Arabidopsis thaliana: one gene and its partners. Each later gene encodes a partner of the first gene's protein in a complex. Each region holds a gene or a part of one and is shown in the gene's direction. Other genes may lie near its edges. The genes, in order: TAF5, TAF11b, HAF2 and TAF15b.

Region 1 (7,800 bases):
TCATGAAGATGTTCCGTGCAAAACACATCCTTGAAATAGTAACAGTGAGATAAGATATAAAACATCTTATTAATAAAATTTTGTGATTGATTGAATTTGACTCCCCTGTAAAAAACAACAACTGATTTTAAAAACCATACATAGAAAACTATTTTATAGAACAACAATAAATACTAGTTTTTCACTATATAAGGACTTGATTGGTTCTTGAAAATTATATGTATTGATTATTGGGAGATTTGCAAAACTAGCCTTTTTTTACTACCCTTTTGCAACAATACCCTTTCATGTTGTCCATTTTTAAAAATATCTCTCCCCTTGAACAAAATGACCAAATTACCCTCATCTAATAAAAACATGTAATTGGAAACTGAAATTTTCCCGCCAATTTTTTGGCGCCAAAATATTTTTTTTCCCGCCAAAAAAAAGTTTCCGCCAAACTTTTTTCCAACCAAAAAAAAAAATTCCCGCCAACAAAAAAATTTCCCGCCAAATTTTTTTTTCGTAAAAAATTTTTCCTCAGCCAAAAAAAATATTTTAAAAATCCTTGTAAATATTTTTTAGCGCCAAATAGATTTACAAGGGATTTTAAAAGGATTTTAAAAGATTTACAAGAGATTTTTAAAAAGTTTTAAAAAATTTACAAGAGATTTTAAAAGAGTTTTAAAAGATTTACAAGAGATTTTAAAAGAGTTTTAAAAGATTTACAAGTAATTTTAAAAGGTTTTAAAATCCCTTGTAAATCTTTCAAAACACTTTTAAACCCTTTAAAAATCTTTACAAATCCTATGTAAATATTTTAAAACCCTTTAAAATCCCTTGTAAATATTGTAAAACCCTTTTAAAATCCCTTGTAAATATTTTAAAATCCTTTTAAAACAATTTTAAACCCTTTAAAAATCTTTAAAAGACCTTTGTAAATCTTTTAAATCCCTTTAAAATCTCTTGTAAATCTTTTAAAACCCTTTTAAAAATCCCTTGTAAATCTTTTAAAAACCTTTTAAAATCCCTTGTAAATTACCCTTTTAAAATCCCTTGTAAATCTTATAAAACCCCTTTAAATTGCCTTGTAAATCTTTTAAAACTCTTTTAAAATTCCTTGTAAATCTATTTCCCGCCAAAAAAAAAAATTGACGGGAAAAATATTTTTGAAAACAAAATTTGGCGGGAAATGTTTTTCAAAAATTTTTGGTGGGAATTTTTTTCGAAAAGGTTTGGCGGGAAAATTTTGGCGGGAAATTTATTTTAGAATATTTTAGGCGAAAAAATATTAATATTTCATTTTGTTAACCTAAAACAATTTCCAAATAAGGGTAAAATGGTAATTAAAAATTTAAAGAGAATATAAATAAAAATGGATAAAACAAAAGGGTAGAGTTGAAAAGGGGCATCATGAAAAGGGCATTTGAAAGAATTTTTCTTGATTATTTGATATCCAAAATTTTATAATATATTTTTAGAAAACGAGTTAACCATTGTGGGAGGAAATAACTGACCTTGTCTTATATACAATAAATTGTTGCAAGTGTTTAGTTTAACCATTGTAACATTTGATTTAAGAATTATTGTTTAAATATTTTTAAACTGGGTGTTTTGGAAAGTTATTTTTTTTTTTAAATAAAAGTTAGAAATTTTGAGAAGATAACATTTTTTTGGATAATTTTCAATAATTCTGTAAGAATTAATTACTCAAACAATAAATATTGGTATCTTGTCCCAATCTTTAAGTTGAAATAGAGAATCCAAAGCAAGTAATTTAAAAAGAAAATGGTTATGAGATTTTACATCAAAGTAAGGTCATGGGCTTATAATTCAAAAACTCTTAGTAAATTTTGAATCTGGGCATTTGCCCAACCTGCCACCCCCATAGACGGGCCTGGTTTTAATCATAACTTTGAAATTATTATATTTGGGCCACAATTAGGCCATTGAAACAGGCCCAGTTTTGTAGAGACACGGAATCTAAAAAACTGAAGATGTTTCAGCGACGAGATACAAGTTTCTAGGAGAGGAAATTGAATCGAGAGAGAGAGAGAGAGACAACAATGGATCCAGAGCAAATCAACGAGTTCGTCGTGGGCTACTTGAAGAAGAAAGGATTCAGTAGCGCTGCTAAAGACCTTGAATCTTATCATCACCAGAACAATAATGGTAGCTCCTTCACTTCTGTCGATTATCATAACGATCCTGAGCTCACGAAGCTCATTCGCTCCTTTTCTCAGTAATCTCTCTCCCTATCTCTCTCTCTCGTTTCAATTCTTAATGCGAATTGTGTTTTGAATTTTTGGGAAAGTTTTAGTGTCTTTTGTGAATTTTGAAAACCGTAAGGAAAAATTATGTAAGCTCCAACGTTTTTGAGAATCTAAAAATGAATATAATTCACTTTCTGGGTGAAGTTTATGTGAATATTTCTATCAGTTTATCTGTCAAATTTAAGATTTTGATGACATCTCAGTGGCAAGAAATTAGGTTTTTTTGTATGGCTTATGTAGAGAGAGCTAATGGTAATGAAATGTCTGTTCTTTTGTTTGCAGACAAGAAGATGATCCAACTCGGTACCGTGAAGGTTACAGCAAACTAAGGTCATGGGCGTATAATTCTCTGGATTTATATAAGGTGGGGATTTTTTTTTGTGTATCCCTTGGCTGTTTTGGGTAGAGACAGGCTTAATTGAACTGACGAGATGATTCTAATTTTGTAGCATGAATTGCTTCGAGTGATGTATCCTGTGTTTATTCATTGTTACATGGATCTGGTGGGGAAAGGGCACACTCAAGAAGGTACTTGTCAATATAGCAAATTAGATGTACTGAGTATTTTTTTTACCTTCGGTATAAGATTTTTGGAAACAGTGACTTATGCTACTGTGGGAAATAATACGTCTCTTGTATTCCAGCTAGAGCCTTCTTTAACAGCTTCCGCAAAGATCATGAGATGGTACACTTACGGGATCTTCAGAAGCTTGAAGGCGTGCTTTCTCCATCTCATCTAGAGGTTTATGATAAACCTTATATGGTCATATAATATTGATAATGGATTTTTTTTTTTTTTTTTTTGGTTATTATCTTTCTTATGATCTTGGTTCTTATCAGGAGATGGAGTTTGCTCGTTCTCTTAGAAAAAGCAAGGTTAACATCAAGTTTTGTCAGGTAGACTTGAGTGAAAATTGACTAGTAGCTGTAATAGGCAACTGCTTCGAGGTTTCTGGTCTGATTAACTGAATTCCGTGACTGCAGACCTCTAATATGCTTACTGAATGTTGCAGTATTCATATGAGCTGTTACTTCAGTATCTACATAGTACAGTATCGACTTTAATGCTTGGTATTATTAACGAGCACATCAATTTCCAAGGTAAATGTGTTTCTTTCTCTTATATATGCGATAGCTTGTAGCAGTTTTTTGAGTAGAAAATTGAATCAATTGGTCATGGATAATTTGTTGCAGTCTACTCGGGACAGCCTACTTCCTCATCCGATGACATAGAAGCTGTCACCATTGTCGGGAGTTTTCAGGACACTGCTAATCACATTAATCAAAAAGAAATACAGTGGGGAGTACGTATTTCCCCTAAAGTTTCTTTTCTCTTCTATTTTTCCAGAGTTATAACATGTTGATGCCTCATCCCAGGGATGATAACATATTTGCGTAGTTAATAGCTACATATGCATTTTTCTTTTACAGTTGCTTGAAGATTCACTAGAAGATCGCCTTGAGAAGACAGGAGGTCTGCTGTCTGATTCTGAGAAGGGACAAGGAGAAAGTAAAGACGGGGATGCAGATGATAGTAAGGTGATACATAGCTTCAACTTAGTCAATAATTTCTGAACTGAAATCCCGTTTTTACTCGTCAATTGATTCTGTGTACAGAAAAGATCCACTGAAATTGGAAAGCAAGGCTCTTCCTTAAAAAAGTTGAAGAAGGACAAAGCGGGTAATGCAACAGCAAAAGTTGCACGTCTGGAGACCATTACGGTGTCACCGGCGCCGCGTGTAAAACCAGAACTTGCCTTGCCAGTAATGTACTTTCGAATCCCTTACCCATTTTTTGTGTTGGGATTTGATTAAAAAGGAATGAACATGTGATATCTATGGGTGATGCATGATTGTTTAGGAGAAATGAACATAGTCTTTGTATTTGTCAAAGACTCAACCTCCTTTAACATAAATCAATTTTGCTCCATCTCCTTGTTTTCTCTGTCAGGTCCACAGATGTAGAGCAATCCATCCTTGAAGACCTTAGAAACCGTGTGCAGTTGAGTAGTGTTGCAATGCCATCAGTCAGCTTTTATACATTTGTGAATACTCATAACGGGTAATGTCCACCTCTCCTCCTAATTTTAACTACTTATTTGCAACCTTGTTACTCACTCTTTTATTCTCCCCCAGGTTAAACTGTTCATCTATATCTCATGATGGATCTCTGGTTGCTGGTGGGTTCTCAGATTCTTCAATAAAGGTATGTTATTCTCGGATGGTTGGATACATTTCCCTTTTTTTGTTTTCTTCCTCTCTTAAATGATGCCAAGTGACAATTATGGTGTTCAGGTCTGGGACATGGCTAAGATAGGACAAGCTGGCAGTGGTATGTTAATTCTCTGAAAAATTGTATTGACATCCACGTTTAAGAATGATATTTATCTCATACGTTTCGCTTGTCATTTTTGTTGATTTCTCATAATGATTGTTTTTGTTTCCATGAGAGTTATAGACACTAAGCTGTCTGGTTCCAGGTGCTTTGCAGGCTGAAAATGATTCAAGTGATCAAAGCATAGGACCAAATGGCAGAAGAAGTTATACATTATTACTGGGTCATTCAGGGCCAGTTTACTCAGCCACTTTCAGTCCCCCTGGAGATTTTGTTCTATCTTCTTCAGCAGATACAACAAGTATGTATCTGTCCATCACTTTACAAATCCATACACTGGCTCATTAGTTCAGACTTTTTTAGTTACCAACCCTGTATTCATAAGTGCAGTACGACTGTGGAGCACAAAACTAAATGCTAATCTCGTGTGCTACAAGGGTCATAATTACCCTGTATGGGATGCCCAGGTATAGTTAATTCAATTTAACCCATGTTTCTTACATAACCTGCAATTTATGGTGGCTGGACATGTATATATATTATATACTCATTTTATGGTGCAGTTTAGCCCTTTCGGTCATTACTTTGCAAGCTGTTCTCATGATCGTACTGCACGGATTTGGTCAATGGACCGAATACAACCTCTTCGGATAATGGCAGGGCATCTATCTGATGTTGATGTGAGTGTCTCCCTCATCTTCATTGTTTGGGTTTAATTTGCAAAGGTTAAATCGAAGGGACCAATTGAGTTGTTAATTAAATGCATGGATAAATTTCTTAAAACGTTTTATTATGCAATTGAAGTCATTAATTCACCGTATCAATGTTTACAATGGTTTATCTAACATTTTACATTGTTTATTGACTTAGATTAGTACCCACTTGTTATTTTAACGTGACCCTGACATTCATAATTTAAGAATCGTCCAGTTTATAGTTGATCCAAAGATTGTTAGCCAATACGCTTAAAGTCATAAGGTTACGATGGATTACTTAACTATTTGGATTGACATTAAGTCAGATCAGTAACTTCAATTTTTCTTTGGATACCTATTGATGCGACTTTCGTTGTACTTGTCAAATGCATTTGATTTCAGTGTGTACAGTGGCATCCCAATTGTAACTACATTGCTACCGGTAGTAGTGATAAGACGGTTAGACTCTGGGATGTGCAAACTGGAGAATGTGTCCGGATATTCATTGGGCACAGGAGTATGGTTTTATCATTGGCGATGTCTCCAGATGGGAGATATATGGCTTCCGGTGATGAAGATGGCACTATAATGATGTGGGACCTCTCAACTGCTCGCTGCATCACTCCTCTCATGGGCCATAATTCATGTGTCTGGAGTCTCTCATACAGGTGAGGTGTCAAGAGAAGAAGAAAATAGCTTTATTTGATCATTCAACTTTTATTGAGTTAGTAATACACAATGAAAACGTAATATGATCCTTTTTTCAGCCAACTATTGGTTTTGGTTGATATGCTTTATCATCTCTGGAATTTCTTCTAGGACAACATTTTTTAAAGGGTAGTTCAGGGTTATGATATAGAGTGGTATGGTGTGGCTATTTCTATTAATTCTACAGTGACTTACTACTGAACTGGTAGATTTTTCTATATCCACGCACTCTTGTGTTAGCTCTAACATAGGGTTCTTGTCATGGGTTGTGGAATGTTGTATAGGCCTAATGTGTTGGGTCGTTAATGGAATGACTGGTTTTGGTTGGTAAAATCCACTTGCTTGGAATATTGGAACCGTAAACTCCACTTTGATAAATCATAGAACTACTACAATTTATGACTAACCTGTTTTCCTGTTTCAGCGGGGAGGGCTCTCTTCTGGCTTCTGGATCCGCAGACTGCACAGTGAAACTGTGGGACGTCACTTCAAGTACCAAATTGACAAAGGCCGAGGAAAAGTGAGTTTGCTCTTTCAAGTTGTATTGTTGTTCCCTTTGAATGGTAGATTGTTTTGTTAAAAACGATTTATCATTTGTGATTGATCAGGAATGGAAACTCGAACAGATTGCGCTCACTCAGGACTTTCCCCACCAAGTCCACACCAGTTCACGCTCTCCGGGTAAGTTATGCTTTCTTTACTAGAATTAATTCCACCATTCTCTAAACACCGTGGTATTTCTCTCATCCCTAAGTTTATCATGTTGTGCTTGTGATCAACACATCCCGATAATGAGTGACCAAACACTTGATTAGAACCAAAGTTTCAGGGTGTGTGCCAAACAGATTTTATCCATCAGTATCATATAGAACCTTTCCTCTAACACCTAGGATTCGTTGATCGAGGCATACACTAAAACTCATGTTTTACATTGATGCAGTTTTCTCGGAGAAATTTGTTGTTTGCTGCAGGAGCGATCTCTAAACCCGCAAACTGATCAAAACAATGGTATCAGATATTGATGCTTTAACATTCTTACAAGCTGTTGTAGATCTCAGAAGAAATCAGGTGTAGAATAGTTATCTCCAAAGATTATTTGCTTGTGGCTTTTGTTTCTCATTTCTAAATCCCAAAAATGTTGAAGATTCTTTTAATGAACAACTACTCCTGCTTATGTATGCCATGTGTCCCAATCCAGGAATCACTTATCTTCGACTTGGAGCAGATTTACTTTAAGCATGTCAAAGCCACATTCTTCCTTCTAATAAACACCCTAGTTTAAGCATGTCACCTCTATCATGAATCAAAACCTACTCGAAATGAATAAGGCAAAGAACAACAACCAAATATTCTCAAAATTTATAACGTTAATAAAATAGAAACATGTAATGAATCTCCCCAAAAAGACATCGTGTGTCGAGAGAAATCTTTCTTAAGACAGGGTGGGTGGTTATGTGGTATGTTGTGAATTATGTTTTTTCTTAGAGAACATATTTTTTAGAAACTTTTCAGATACTAACATATTTTTTATTTTGTGAAAACATTTAATTCTCCTAATTTCTAGAGACGGTACTTAAATAAATAGAGAGCTGACGACAAAAATAAAATAAAATTGAGAGCTGAAGAAGAAAAGAAAGAAAAAAACATGTTTTGAAAGACATTTGCATCAAAATTTTGGATGAGACATAAAATCTACCAAAAGTAGATTTGGTTGTGTGACTAGACAATTGTCTACATTTGGAATTATATGTGGGAATGTGGTACTCGTTATCTTCTTATATGAGATCTCTCCCGGTCAGTTTTCTCATTA
Region 2 (3,038 bases), on another chromosome or scaffold:
TGTGGAGCCCAAACAACAATCTCACGTGATTCGTTTTTTTAGTTACTTTTGGTCAGGTCTCACGTGATTCGTTTTATACATTGATTATTTAACTTCAATTATAACTATGAGTCTATGACTACTAGTGTGCATTGTTATTATTGGGGAGAAATATTTTTTAACGCATATTGTAGATTCATTGATTATTGTTTTAAAGCATTGTAGATTCACATAAACATTATAGTTGATTTAGTTAGCAAGGACTAGTAACAAGATGTTTGCTTGACTATATATGAACACTTTTTCGTCTCATCGATGGAACCAATACTATGTGAATCATGGGGCTGCATTATTTTACAGGGTTTCAGGTGTGCCATTCGTTGGGAGGAGGCACAGGTTCAGGAATGGGAACACTATTGATATCGAAGATCCGAGAGGAGTATCCAGACAGAATGATGCTCACTTTCTCTGTTTTCCCATCTCCTAAAGTCTCTGACACAGTCGTTGAGCCTTACAATGCAACTCTCTCTGTCCATCAGCTTGTAGAGAACGCTGATGAATGCATGGTCCTCGACAATGAAGCTCTCTACGATATCTGCTTCCGTACCCTCAAACTCAGCACTCCTAGCTGTAAGTACACCCAATTCTTATCCTCCATTAACCCAAAATGTATTTAAAACTAATTCTGATACATTGCATGATGATGTAGTTGGAGACTTGAACCATTTGATCTCCGCAACAATGAGCGGTGTGACTTGCTCCTTAAGGTTCCCCGGACAACTAAACTCTGACCTCAGGAAACTCGCGGTGAACCTAATCCCATTCCCTCGTCTCCATTTCTTCATGGTGGGTTTTGCGCCCCTCACTTCCCGTGGCTCGCAACAATACATCTCACTCACCGTTCCTGAGCTGACTCAACAAATGTGGGACTCCAAAAACATGATGTGTGCAGCTGATCCACGTCACGGACGTTACCTCACAGCCTCTGCTATTTTCAGAGGACAGATGAGCACAAAAGAAGTCGACGAGCAAATCCTAAACATACAGAACAAGAACTCGTCTTACTTCGTTGAGTGGATCCCAAACAACGTGAAATCCAGCGTTTGTGATATCCCACCAAAGGGGCTCAAAATGGCGGCGACGTTTGTGGGTAACTCGACGTCGATTCAAGAAATGTTCAGGAGAGTGAGTGAGCAGTTCACGGCTATGTTTAGGCGTAAAGCGTTTCTGCATTGGTACACAGGAGAAGGAATGGACGAAATGGAGTTTACGGAAGCTGAGAGCAATATGAATGATTTGGTCGCTGAATACCAACAGTACCAAGATGCTACTGCTGATGAGGAAGGTGAGTATGATGTTGAAGAAGAAGAGGAGGGAGATTATGAGACTTGATCCACCAAATCAAACATTTTACTTAAAAGACAAGGAAACGACTCTTGGAAATCTCTCTATTTAAATTTGATTGAAAAACATTGAAAAAATGGGAAATTTGTTTAAATGTGTTTTTTGTTTGAGTAATTTGTTCAAAGAAAGTTTGAAGTTTCCATTTATTTTGGGTGTCTTGTATTTTCCATTTGAGATAATACGTCCTTGCTTCTCAAGCTACTGTGTAGTATATAAATTTTACACTTCTCTCAATTGTCCCACATCGAGTAAATTAGTATAAAGGAAGCTAAACTTTTGCCTCTATAAATAAAGATACTTCATTTCCCACCGACTTTTACATTTGGGCTTCTTAAAAAATAGGCTTGACAATAAATGGCCTTTAACGCAAGGTCTTGTTGTTTTGCTAGTAGCAACGAGCGGGTTACTTGTAACTGCAATTGTCTGAAAGATCAGCCAGTGCCAAGGTACTTGTAATTACAAGTACAAAAAATTGATTTCTTTGAGTTCATGTTCATGTCGGATTTTTTCTAGTGTGGTCGGATGTGCAACAAAAAAATTGGCTGAATTTTGGAGTTTTAAGATCCAAAGATATGTGATTTTCGTTAAGGTTTTATTAAGAATGAAGCATTCGAAGGATCCGTTTGAAGCAGCAATGGAGGAGCAAGAGGAATCACCTGTTGAAACCGAGCAGACTCTTGAAGGAGATGAGAGAGCTGTGAAGAAATGTAAAACGTCCGTTGTTGCTGAAGCGAAGAACAAAGATGAAGTTGAGTTCACCAAAAACATAACTGGTGCTGATCCTGTGACTAGAGCCAACAAGATGCAGAAGATTTTATCACAATTTACAGAGGAACAAATGAGCAGATATGAATCTTTCAGAAGATCTGGTTTTAAGAAATCAGACATGGAGAAGTTGGTACAGAGAATCACAGGGGGTCCGAAGATGGACGACACTATGAACATCGTTGTGCGTGGTATCGCAAAGATGTTTGTTGGCGACCTTGTGGAAACAGCTCGAGTTGTTATGAGGGAAAGGAAGGAATCAGGACCTATTAGACCTTGCCATATCAGAGAGTCATATCGAAGACTAAAGCTCCAAGGAAAAGTGCCTCAAAGATCAGTTCAACGGCTTTTTCGCTAGTCAGAATGACGAGGTTACAAAGTAGTGACATGGACGAAGAGTAACTATCATGCTCTAAACCAAACGTGATTAAGTCTTTGCTTAATAACTAAAGAAGTACACGATAAGATCAGAAACAATTGGCCATCTCTCTCATTACTCTTAAAGAATTCACCTTTCAAGCATTCTACAAATTGACTCCCTAAGAAACGATTACAAATAACACAATGAGATTTCAGTCTTTTAATTCAACCTACTTGGCTCTAGCCTTTTTAGAGACTCTGCTAGCCAAAAAATCATCATCTGAGTCGTCATCATCAGAGTTCTTCTTCCTCTTCTTCGTGGTTGGTTTCGAATCATTTCCCTTCTTTTTGTTTGACAAAGCTTCAGATGGCGACTTTTGTACTTCCTTCTTCTTCACGGTCACTGATTTGGAGTTGCTTCTTGGAGTAGAAGCAGCAGATTTTACTGGAGAACTTAATTTTCCACCCTTTTGCAGTTTCTTCTCAAGAACTTTCTTTGCTTTTTCGGCTGGAAGCAATCCAGACTCCAT
Region 3 (5,024 bases), on another chromosome or scaffold:
GGCTAAGACATTGAAAAAAGCAGTAGAGACTAGAGAGGGTCCATTTTAATTCGAATTATCTCGCCTCGTGATTAAAATATATATTTCCTAGCGGCTTATGTCAAAGTTCGAGATAAAATAAAAAAAATAGACTAATTTTGCGTAGGATTTGGTTTGGTTTGGGTCTGTTACTATAAGAATGAAATAAAGAGACTATACAATATACACCGTAACAAGTATATCCTTTAATTTTGTCATATGACAATTATTGTTCTTCTTTTTCTTTTTGGACATGGATAATTATATTTTGTTTCATTTTGGTAAATTAGGGTCCTGTTCGTTTGCCTGTGTTCGTTTGCTTGTCTGTGTTCGTTTGCCTGTCGCTGACGACTGAAACCAGCGACAACGACCAAAAGTTGTTTGTTTGCATAGCGATCAAAAGTAACGACAATCGCCAGCGACCAGCGACCGCAATTTTTGGTCGCTGAAATTTTTAGCGATCAGTCGCTGATTTCAGCGATTAGTCGCTGGTTTTAGTCGCTGGATCCAACGACATGCAAACGAACAATTTAGCGATCAAAAAATATAAATTAAAGAATAATTAAAAATAATTAAATTAAACAGAATTAAATTAAATTAAACTTAAAATAAATGTCTTTTTGCACTCTGAACGGTTGTGTCTTTTAATCGCAACTTTCCGTAAAAAATATTGATGGTTGTTTTTTCTCGCTTGTGTCTTTTATTGCAACCTTCCTATATTGTAATTTTCTGTCAAAATATTTACAGTTATTTTTTCCGGTTAGTTATATATATACTATTGAATAACTACGAAATTTAGAATATGCATCATTTGGAGTTAGATTTGTTTTAAAGAAATTATTATATAAATAAATTTATAATATTTTTCTCTGCGATATCAAGAAAGGTTTGAGTTCTAGTTTAATTAAAATAATTCTTATTAAATTAAGTTAAAATAAATTAAATTCAAATAACATAAACTAATTATAGTCAAATTAAATTTGATAAAACTAAAATAAATAAATCTATTAATTTATTTTTCTCATGGTGTATGATATATATGATTTACATTTTGATTTTAAAATATAAATTAGTACCAAAAATAATTAATTTTAAAAAAAAATATAGCGACTGTTTATAGCGACAGTCAAACGAACAACACAACGACAATTATTAGCGATTGTTGATGTAATTGGTCGCTGAGTCCAGCGACAGACAATCGAACAATATATGTTGTCGCTGGTTGCTGTCGCTGGTCGTTGGTCGCTGTCGCTGGATCCAGCGACAGGAAAACGAACAGGGCATAGGTTTTGTTTGTTTTATTTAGTATTTCTAACGTAAATTTTAAAAAAGCGCCAAAATCTAGAAGAAGAGTAATATGCGAGAAAATCACTTTTACTCTTATTTATTTACTTGTCTTGCCAAATTTCCATCAAAATTATTAATTACTTAATTATATAATTTTTGACTAATTATTTACTTTATTGGACCCGGGATATGTAACTAAATGGGCTTTTATTGGGCTGTATTCTGTGGACCATTAATAAACATAATCTTTGAAGTGCAAAAAAAAAAATGGGACCCGGGACAACTAAATCAGAATCGGGGCGGGTTATAAACTTTTCCCTATAAATTACCACTCCGATGTTAATACCCGCCTCTTTGATCCCTCAGACGATTTCTTCTTTCCGTTGTATCTTCCAATCACCCGATTGAGCTCCGCTTCACTTCCTCCGGCTAAATGTGTACATACTCTCAATTAGGAAACCGCCAATCCCACATAACGTTGAATGTCGTCGTCTCGGTTAGATATCAACGAGGGTTTTGTTCTTGGTTCCTTACTAAACAACAAAATTTGACGAAAATTGGTACTTGGGTATGAACGTTGTTATTCCCTAATTGTACCGGAAAATTTGATGGTGGTATGTTTCCCTTGTAGGTTTTCGTTGAGTCGTGGATTTGTTCTTGCTCCTGATTCTTTTCAGTAGTTCCTTTGCTATTTGGGAAGCAAAATTGTCACGCCACTCTTTGCATTCGAGGGTTTTATTATGTCTGAGTCCAACGACAACGAGACTTCCGCAGGTTATATTTGCAGTTTCTTACATGGTTTCTTCATTAGTGTATTGCATTCTCCTAGTTTTGCTCTAGTCATAATCTACTTATTGTGGGATAATTTATTGCTCAGCGTTTTGAGTTAATTAAATAGAAGGTTTTTATGTTTGAGATTTTGATATACGCAACAAGTCCCACCCATAGCAGTTACAAACTGAAACTATTTGCCACTACCAATTCCCGGTCATCAGCTTCACTGACTTGTGATGATATGTCGTGTAGATTATGGGAGCAATGATGAAGAGTATGATGGGCCTGAGCTTCAAGTAGTTACTGAGGAAGATCACCTACTACCAAAAAGAGAGTACTTATCAGCTGCATTTGCTTTGAGTGGTTTAAATTCCAGAGCTTCTGTGTTTGACGACGAAGATTATGATGAACAAGGAGGACAAGAGAAGGAACATGTACCAGTTGAGAAATCTTTTGATTCAGAAGAGAGGGAACCAGGTTTGCTTTTGAAATTTCCGTTTCTTGAACAAAACGATTAGCACACTCTATTCTCTACTTTTGTTTTGTCATTTCATTAATCTCAGATTGGTTTAGTTTTCTCAACACTTATACTTGTTTAGCTCGGGAAAATAATCTCTTGTTAAGTTGGAGTCCAGTGCGTCATAAATACTAGAGATCAGAACTCTTGGAACTTTTCTTAGATTCCTTTTGTGTTAGTGATTATGAGACACTAAACATTATTTTCGCAGTTGTCTTGAAGGAGGAAAAGCCCGTAAAGCATGAAAAGGAGGCTAGCATCTTGGGAAATAAGAATCAGATGGACACAGGAGATGTCCAGGAGGTCAGCAAGAATGATTTCGGTGTCTCAGATAACATCTTTTTTTGTTGTGGAATGATTTTGTTCTGTTAGTGATCTCATTGAAACGTTCAGGAGTTGGTGGTTGGATTATCAGAAGCTACTTTGGATGAGAAACGTGTCACCCCGCTGCCTACGTTATATCTTGAAGATGATGGTATGGTCATCTTACAATTCTCTGAGATATTTGCTATACAAGAGCCACAGAAGAAACGGCAGAAGAGAGAAATTAGATGTATCACTTATAGAGGTATGTGATCTGCAACGGCTTCCTAATTTTGTTTATTCTCAAAAGCCTTTGAATTTTTTGTGCTTTCCATTGGGATGTTAAAATCTACAACAACAATGATTTCTCAAGATTTTCAGTATCTCCCGTTCAATTCTAAAAGCCATTAGGTGTCGAAAGCATGAGAAGTTTTTTGTATGTGGCTCTGTCTTTTCTTGGCAAGAATTTAGTAGATATGTATATTTGGTGCTTCTGAAATGATATACATTATTTTCTCTGTTTCTCTCGTTATCTCTCTGCATTGTTCTTTTCTGTTTGTAATTCATCACTTCTTTTAATGTAACTAGAATAGCTGAGAAAGTTCTATGAAAACAATTATCATATGAGACTCTTACATCATAGCCTTCTTTGGTACAGACAAATACATATCTATGGATATTTCTGAGCTTATCGAAGACGATGAGGAGGTACTCCTGAAGAGCCATGGTAGGATTGACACTCATGGGAAAAAAACTGATCAAATTCAGCTGGATGTTCCCTTACCAATCAGAGAGCGTTCACAGCTGGTAAAATCTGGCATAGTAAGGGATACTACATCAGAATCGAGAGAGTTTACCAAGCTAGGAAGGGATTCATGTATCATGGGTGAACTGTTGAAGCAGGACTTAAAAGACGATAATTCATCTCTCTGTCAGTCTCAATTAACAATGGAAGTTTTCCCTCTAGACCAGCAAGAATGGGAACATCTAATACTCTGGGAAATTTCTCCTCAATTTAGTGCTAATTGTTGTGAGGGCTTCAAATCTGGACTTGAGTCAGCAGGTATAATGGTACAGGTGAGGGCTTCAAATTCAGTGACTGAACAAGAAAGCTTAAATGTGATGAACTCTGGAGGGCAAACTCAAGGGGACAATAACAACATGCTCGAGCCTTTTTTTGTAAATCCGTTGGAGTCTTTTGGCTCAAGAGGTTCCCAGTCTACAAATGAGTCCACTAACAAAAGTAGACATCATCCACAACTCCTTAGATTAGAATCTCAGTGGGATGAGGATCATTATAGGGAAAATGGCGATGCTGGACGGGAGAATTTAAAGCAGCTTAATAGTGACGCTCGTGGGCGCTTGAGTGGACTTGCATTGCAAGATAGGGATATGTGGGATGAGTCATGGTTAGATAGCATAATATGGGAGTCAGATAAAGATTTGAGCAGGTCTAAACTAATATTTGATCTTCAAGATGAGCAAATGATCTTTGAAGTTCCGAACAATAAGGAAAGAAAATATCTTCAACTTCATGCTGGATCTAGGATTGTATCTCGATCTTCAAAATCCAAGGACGGATCCTTTCAAGAAGGCTGTGGATCAAATTCTGGGTGGCAATTCAATATTTCTAATGACAAATTCTATATGAATGGGAAAAGCGCTCAGAAACTGCAAGGAAATGCTAAGAAATCTACCGTACACAGTTTGAGAGTTTTCCATTCGGCACCAGCGATTAAATTGCAGACGATGAAGATCAAATTGAGCAAGTAAGTGAGTCATTTGAATTTTTACATCTTATTGTATTTGTACGCTTCATTGTTACATTCGTGTGTGGTCTCAATGTTGCCACTGGATATATTTTTTAAATACATTTTTTTAGTGGTTTATGTTAAAAAGTTTTGATTTAACTCATTGCAGTAAAGAGAGAGCAAATTTTCACCGGCCCAAAGCTCTGTGGTATCCACATGACAATGAGCTAGCCATAAAGCAGCAAAAAATTTTACCCACCCAAGGTTCCATGACAATTGTTGTTAAGAGTCTGGGGGGTAAAGGATCACTGCTAACCGTCGGCAGAGAGGAATCTGTCTCTTCTTTAAAAGCCAAGGCTTCTAGAAAGCTAGGT
Region 4 (6,080 bases), about 15 Mb from region 1:
AAACACCGTGTCGTTTTGATAGCTAAATAACAGTGAGATGCTGAGTCGTGAAACGGCACGCAGTGTTTTGTTTTTTTAAACATTGAATTTCTCGGCCCGACATTATCGTGGAAGTACGAGATTCACTGGATTTGATGGCTCGTCGGCTGTTTCTCCTCCTCCTCGCCGTCACGGCAGGGTTGAGCTTGACGGGAACAACCGTCAGAGCAGTTGGCATAAATTGGGGGACAGAAGCGTCGCACCCTCTTCCGCCTTCAAAGGTTGTAGAGCTTCTGAAATCAAACGGCATTGTCAAAGTGAAGCTCTTCGATGCCGACCCAAAAGTTCTCCGAGCTCTCTCTGGTTCTAATATTGGTGTCACTATCGGAATCCAAAATTCGATGCTCAAGAGCTTGAATGCATCCGTAAAGGTAGCAGAGAGCTGGGTACATGACAATGTCACTCGTTACTTCAACGGTGGAAACAGAGTTCGAATCGAGTATCTTCTTTCTCCTTCTCTTCTGCTTATCCAGTTATATATATATAGATTTAAGATTTTTAAGCTGGAATTTAACTTATGGAATGTGAATGAGTCGGATTTGTTTCAATGCCAAATTGCCAATCTTCTTATTGTGAAATTATCATTAAAGAAAAGAATTGATTTTCAGGTATGTAGCAGTTGGAGAAGAGCCATTTCTCCAGAGCTATGGCAATCAGTATAAGCCTTTTGTGATTGGGGCAGCTATGAATATCCAAAATGCTTTAGTTAAGGCGAACTTGGCAAATGAAGTGAAGGTTGTAGTCCCCTCAAGCTTTGATTCCTTTCTTTCTGAATCTGGTCGACCTTCTTCAGGACACTTTAGGGCTGACCTCAACAAGACGATGATTGAACTCCTCTCCTTTCTCACAAAGCACCACTCTCCTTTTTTTGTGACAATCTCTCCTTTCCTAAGCTTTCACCAGAACAAGAACATCTCCCTTGACTTTAGCCTCTTTAAAGAAACAGCAAAGGCTCACAAAGACGGACGTAAAACCTACAGAAACAGCTTTGATCTAAGCTATGACACACTTGTCTCTGCATTGTTCACAATTGGGTTTTCGGAGGTGGATATCGTTGTGTCAAAGATCGGTTGGCCTACAGATGGAGCAGAAAATGCAACATCACTGACTGCTGAGGCGTTCTTTAAAGGACTGATAGTTCACTTGGAGAAAAAGACGGCCTCTCTCCCGCGTCCTCCTGTTGAAACCTACATTGAAAGTCTCTTGGACGAAGATCAGAGAAACTTATCTGCTGGGAACTTTGAGAGGCACTGGGGAGTGTTCACTTTCGACGGTCAAGCCAAATACAATTTCAGTTTCAACCATAAGAATCAGGTAAACGCGCAGAATGTTCAGTACCTTCCTCCTAAGTGGTGTGTGGTGAACAATAACAAGGACTTGTCAAACGCGTCAGCAAGAGCATTAGAAGCGTGTGCTGTTGCGGACTGTACATCGATACTTCCTGGCGGGTCGTGTTCAGGCATCAGATGGCCAGGCAACGTTTCATACGCGTTCAATAGCTTGTACCAGCAAAATGATCACAGTGCAGAAAGCTGCAACTTTGGTGGACTTGGTTTGATCACTACTGTTGATCCTTCTGAGGATAATTGCCGGTTCTCGATTCAACTTGACACTTCTCATTCATCTTCGCAAACTCCAAATTTCTTTCAGAGCTGGCCTCTCCTCTTATTGTTCCTACTGTCCGGACTCTTTTAAAGTTGTAGTTATAGCAAAATTTTGGTGGATTTTGCCTCTAATTTCTCTCTAATAGCCACATTTCAAAACTGTATTGGGCTACGTAAAAAATAACTGTTATTGGGCTGGGCCTTCGTAAAGGTTAGATGATTATGGGCCTTAGAACCATGTTGTCTTATTTGATAAAAAAAGCAAGTCCAGTTATTTTGGGAAACCGGTCGGTAAAAGATAAGATGTAAAAGAATTTAAGATTTAAGATAAATGCAATAATAAAGTTCCACTATTTTTGAGAGAAATATAAATAAAACGCGAGATTTTTTATTCTACGTCTAAAAAGGCTCTCACACGATTCGTTAAGAGTTTTGGTCTGTTGTTTATCGCAAACCCTAGGTCATGGCTGGGATGTACAATCAAGACGGCGGCGGAGGTGCGCCTATTCCGTCGTACGGTGGTGATGGATACGGCGGAGGGGGAGGTTATGGAGGTGGTGATGCTGGATATGGTGGACGCGGTGCCTCTGGCGGAGGTAGTTACGGCGGACGCGGTGGTTACGGTGGAGGCGGTGGTAGAGGAAATCGAGGTTTGTGATTTAGATTGTTGCAGATCTGATTGATATAACCTTATGATTCTTTAGATTTCTCCATTCCTTGCTGAGCTACTTTTGTTAAATCTTTAGTTTCTCACTATTTCGATGATTCGTTTTGATTTAGGCGGTGGAGGTGGTGGATATCAAGGAGGTGATCGCGGTGGAAGAGGAAGTGGCGGCGGAGGCAGAGATGGAGATTGGCGTTGTCCCAACCCCAGGTAATGATTGCAAATTATTTGGGATTCCATTCTTTCTGCATATGTAATGAATTGAATTAGCTGTTGAATTCCTTTGTGGGAGCATGTTTTGAAATTGTTTACCCTCGAAACTGTTTGTATAGTTGTGGGAACGTGAACTTTGCAAGGAGAGTTGAATGTAACAAGTGTGGTGCACTTGCTCCTTCTGGTACTAGTTCTGGTGCTAATGATCGTGGAGGTGGTGGATATAGCCGAGGTGGAGGTGACAGTGATCGTGGGGGTGGTCGTGGTGGTAGAAACGATAGTGGTAGGAGCTATGAGAGTAGTAGATATGATGGTGGAAGTAGGAGTGGTGGTAGCTATGGTAGTGGTAGTCAGAGGGAAAATGGTTCGTATGGTCAGGCTCCTCCTCCTGCTGCAGCTATTCCATCCTACGATGGTTCTGGAAGTTATCCTCCACCCACGGGTTATGGAATGGAAGCTGTTCCCCCGCCTACAAGCTATTCTGGTGGCCCGCCGTCATATGGTGGTCCACGAGGGGGTTATGGCAGTGATGCACCGAGCACTGGTGGTCGTGGTGGTAGGAGTGGCGGCTATGATGGTGGTAGTGCTCCTCGACGGCAGGAAGCTAGTTATGAAGATGCAGCTACTGAAAAAGTCAAGCAGTGCGATGCTGATTGTGATGATAATTGTGATAATGCTAGAATATACATCTCTAATTTACCTCCGGATGTGACAACTGATGAACTCAAGGATCTCTTTGGTGGCATTGGCCAAGTAATAACACTGGTCTTTTACTTCTGTTGTGTTTTATATCTTGGAATAAGCCTTTCCCTTGCTATAAGTTATTAAGTTCTTGTTTGTGTACATGTTTATTGGTGTGCTGATAAAGTGTGTCTGGTTGGATCTATTTTAGGTTGGAAGAATTAAGCAGAAGCGTGGTTACAAAGATCAGTGGCCCTATAATATTAAGATTTACACTGATGAGAAGGGTAACTATAAAGGTGACGCCTGTCTGGCTTATGAAGATCCCAGCGCTGCACACTCTGCAGGCGGCTTTTTCAACAGTATGTACTATGGAATTGCTGTCTAGCTTAAAATTGTTTAAAAGTTCTGTTTCGTGAATGGTGGTGGATTGTTTTGTAGATTACGAAATGAGGGGGAACAAGATTAGTGTAACGATGGCAGAAAAGTCTGCGCCCCGTGCTCCTACCTTTGACCAGAGGTAGCTGTCCTGATCATTTATCAGCATTCTTTTTTGTTACCATTTAGCTGTTACCACCTGCTCCATCTTATAGGTGTTTGTACTCTAGTTGTTTTAGGCTTTTAGCTTTATAATTTTAGTAGGGAATATGAGTTTTTGCAATGCTAAGTTTATGTTCCTTGTCTCTGAAGACTGTTTGGATCTTGTATCCTACTGGGGATTTGCTTTGTACACTCATCTGGGTATGACAGAAAGGGTTGGGAGTTCGTATGTCATCAAATTATGCCTTAGGTCTATGTTCATGCCATAGGAAATAAATCTATGTAGTTATCTTGTAACCTATAGCTGTGGCTGCTCTTGGTTGTGAAGAGATCTGTTGTTTGTTCATGCTTCTTATAAGCTCCTAGTAATTCCCCATATAAGTTGTATCTTTATCTGGTTTTCCATGCTCTATAAGACTCGTCTTTGTTGTGTGTTGAGTCACTTCATCTTACGTAGTAAGCTGGTTTTAATTAGAGATGTCTGTGTCTGATCTAATAATGTTGTCCTTGCAAACTTGTGAATGTCGCAGAGGTGGGGGTAGAGGAGGAGGAGGTGGTGGCTATGGTGGTGGTGGGGGAGACAGAAGAAGAGACAACTACAGTTCAGGGCCAGACAGAAACCACCATGGGGGAAACCGGTCTCGTCCATATTGAGAGAAAGAGAGGAATGAATGAATCAGCTGTTATGTGTTCTAAGAGTTTTGTGTGTGTTAAGGAGGGAATTTTAGTAAAATGTTCTATGAATCCTCATATTGGAGATACAAAAAAAGAGGTAGGTTTTTGTTCACTTTGACCTTGAGCAAAATTACCCCTTTTTTCTCCCTACTTGTTCTGTTTCTTTGGGGATCTATTATTCATGCATCTCCGGTTTATTTTTAGTTTGTTTTTCACGATGTGAAATGTTTGTTTTTTGTTTTATTGAAGGAAGCTGATATTTAACTGCAAAATGCATTGCAAATTGGTGCTATGATGATTTCAGGTGAGTGCATTCATCTTGATTACTTCTTTCAACACCAGAAGTCCCTTTTTTGCTTCTCTTCCTTCTTTTTTTGACTCTGTTCAACACAAACAAAACAGTCGTATGTTTTCATGTTGTATTGTGTAATGCATTCATTTAGGCAACCACACTTCTCTTTACAATTTTCGGAGTTGTTATCGTTTTTTCTCGCAAACTTCTTTTATAGCAACATGTGTTCCTCGAGAATTGGCAGGAGTGGGGGATGGCTAGGCACTTGTGTCTGATCAGTTGATCTGAAGTATGCAGTGACCTTTCAAAGATCAACTTGATGATTTTATTGCCAACTTCACTCACTGGGGCTATGATTAGGATTAGGGTTTTACAAATGAGTGGCCTTTTTTTGGATAAAAGACGTTGTTAATAAATAGTTAATCGTTCAATCTGGATCCCAAGGACTAAAGAGAAGGGTGTCTCGTAAAGTTCTCTATGTGTATATGTCATGACCTTTTGGTCAAGTGCCGGATTGGCCAACTCTTTAATGTGTTACATGTAACGAAAGTTTATGTTGAAATTATAGGAACAAAAAAGACTAATGCCGAAAATCCCAAGAGAAAGTTTATTAATGACTTGTTGTGTAGAAAATATGGACGAGAGAAAGAATCCAGGAAATTTGGAATCCTGTAACATTAGTTTCAAGATTCCCATTCTCAATTCGACAAAGAGAATCCATCTTCTAACATTGCATATTCACAGCTCAATCGCTGGCTGGCTCTAGCACACGGCGATATTACTTATTTACCATCCCTTTCACACACATATTGGATAATATACATATTCTTAATAAAAGTCCACCAGTAGTCTTAAGCATAAATTTACAAAAAAAAAAAAAAAAAAAAAAAGTAAGGCAGTAACAATGTAATTCTAACAAACTGCTTAGATGTGTGAAATCCAGATATTTGTAAGTTGTAACTTGTAAGACCACACTATTTAATACTTAATGTGTTCTTAACCTCAAATTGACAATACCTGCGATTTTTCTCACTTTCGACACAATTTTCTATATGATTTGAACTTCAACAATTCTATATAAAAAAAGGTAAAATATTTACATGCAAATAATAAACTTACCCATTACCATATCTTGTATACAAGAAGCTAAACGAAGGAGGGAATGAAGTAGGAATCACATATAAGCAAGAAGAAGCTATGGAACTCAGGATGGATAGCGCCAACAGATATACATGTACGCATATACAAAACATACAGCACTGGTGAGCCATGGCGCTATCCCTCCTGAGCTTTATAGCTATTTCTCTACTACTCAATCTGAAATTTACATCCATAGGTATGCATCTTCCTTTACATATGTGTTATAATGTAT

What was found.
Region 2: TAF5 (region 1) and TAF11b share a complex: the UniProt entries of both Arabidopsis thaliana proteins name them as parts of the TFIID complex.
Region 3: TAF5 (region 1) and HAF2 share a complex: the UniProt entries of both Arabidopsis thaliana proteins name them as parts of the TFIID complex.
Region 4: TAF5 (region 1) and TAF15b share a complex: the UniProt entries of both Arabidopsis thaliana proteins name them as parts of the TFIID complex.

The regions. Positions count from the first base shown.
Region 1 is NC_003076.8:8,675,072-8,682,871, forward strand, and holds TAF5 (TBP-associated factor 5), read left to right. Parts: upstream 1-1,977; 5' UTR 1,978-2,045; coding exon 2,046-2,221; intron 2,222-2,534; coding exon 2,535-2,616; intron 2,617-2,701; coding exon 2,702-2,780; intron 2,781-2,896; coding exon 2,897-2,994; intron 2,995-3,092; coding exon 3,093-3,149; intron 3,150-3,265; coding exon 3,266-3,353; intron 3,354-3,446; coding exon 3,447-3,556; intron 3,557-3,683; coding exon 3,684-3,791; intron 3,792-3,869; coding exon 3,870-4,021; intron 4,022-4,203; coding exon 4,204-4,314; intron 4,315-4,388; coding exon 4,389-4,458; intron 4,459-4,547; coding exon 4,548-4,584; intron 4,585-4,732; coding exon 4,733-4,888; intron 4,889-4,977; coding exon 4,978-5,054; intron 5,055-5,150; coding exon 5,151-5,267; intron 5,268-5,684; coding exon 5,685-5,950; intron 5,951-6,414; coding exon 6,415-6,510; intron 6,511-6,598; coding exon 6,599-6,671; coding exon of another isoform or gene 6,672-6,716; exon of another isoform or gene 6,717-6,930; coding exon 6,931-6,987; and 2 more. UniProt on the Arabidopsis thaliana protein: TAFs are components of the transcription factor IID (TFIID) complex that is essential for mediating regulation of RNA polymerase transcription.
Region 2 is NC_003070.9:6,936,366-6,939,403, reverse strand, and holds TAF11b (TBP-associated factor 11B), read left to right. Parts: upstream 1-1,737; coding exon 1,738-1,829; intron 1,830-1,983; coding exon 1,984-2,506; downstream 2,507-3,038. Other genes in the region: TUB5 (tubulin beta-5 chain), read left to right, coding at 340-609, 689-1,371; AT1G19990 (nucleolin), read right to left, coding at 2,739-3,038. UniProt on the Arabidopsis thaliana protein: TAFs are components of the transcription factor IID (TFIID) complex that is essential for mediating regulation of RNA polymerase transcription.
Region 3 is NC_003074.8:6,572,574-6,577,597, reverse strand, and holds the start of HAF2 (histone acetyltransferase of the TAFII250 family 2), read left to right. Parts: upstream 1-1,984; 5' UTR 1,985-2,045; coding exon 2,046-2,079; intron 2,080-2,315; coding exon of another isoform or gene 2,316-2,331; coding exon 2,332-2,556; intron 2,557-2,807; coding exon 2,808-2,899; intron 2,900-2,989; coding exon 2,990-3,164; intron 3,165-3,557; coding exon 3,558-4,668; intron 4,669-4,819; coding exon 4,820-5,022; intron 5,023-5,024. UniProt on the Arabidopsis thaliana protein: TAFs are components of the transcription factor IID (TFIID) complex that is essential for mediating regulation of RNA polymerase transcription. Core scaffold of the TFIID complex.
Region 4 is NC_003076.8:23,636,881-23,642,960, reverse strand, and holds TAF15b (TBP-associated factor 15B), read left to right. Parts: upstream 1-1,987; 5' UTR 1,988-2,106; coding exon 2,107-2,293; intron 2,294-2,423; coding exon 2,424-2,517; intron 2,518-2,639; coding exon 2,640-3,273; intron 3,274-3,412; coding exon 3,413-3,563; intron 3,564-3,642; coding exon 3,643-3,721; intron 3,722-4,271; coding exon 4,272-4,395; 3' UTR 4,396-4,513; exon of another isoform or gene 4,514-4,665; 3' UTR 4,666-5,546; downstream 5,547-6,080. Other genes in the region: AT5G58480 (O-Glycosyl hydrolases family 17 protein), read left to right, coding at 135-478, 648-1,734. UniProt on the Arabidopsis thaliana protein: TAFs are components of the transcription factor IID (TFIID) complex that is essential for mediating regulation of RNA polymerase transcription.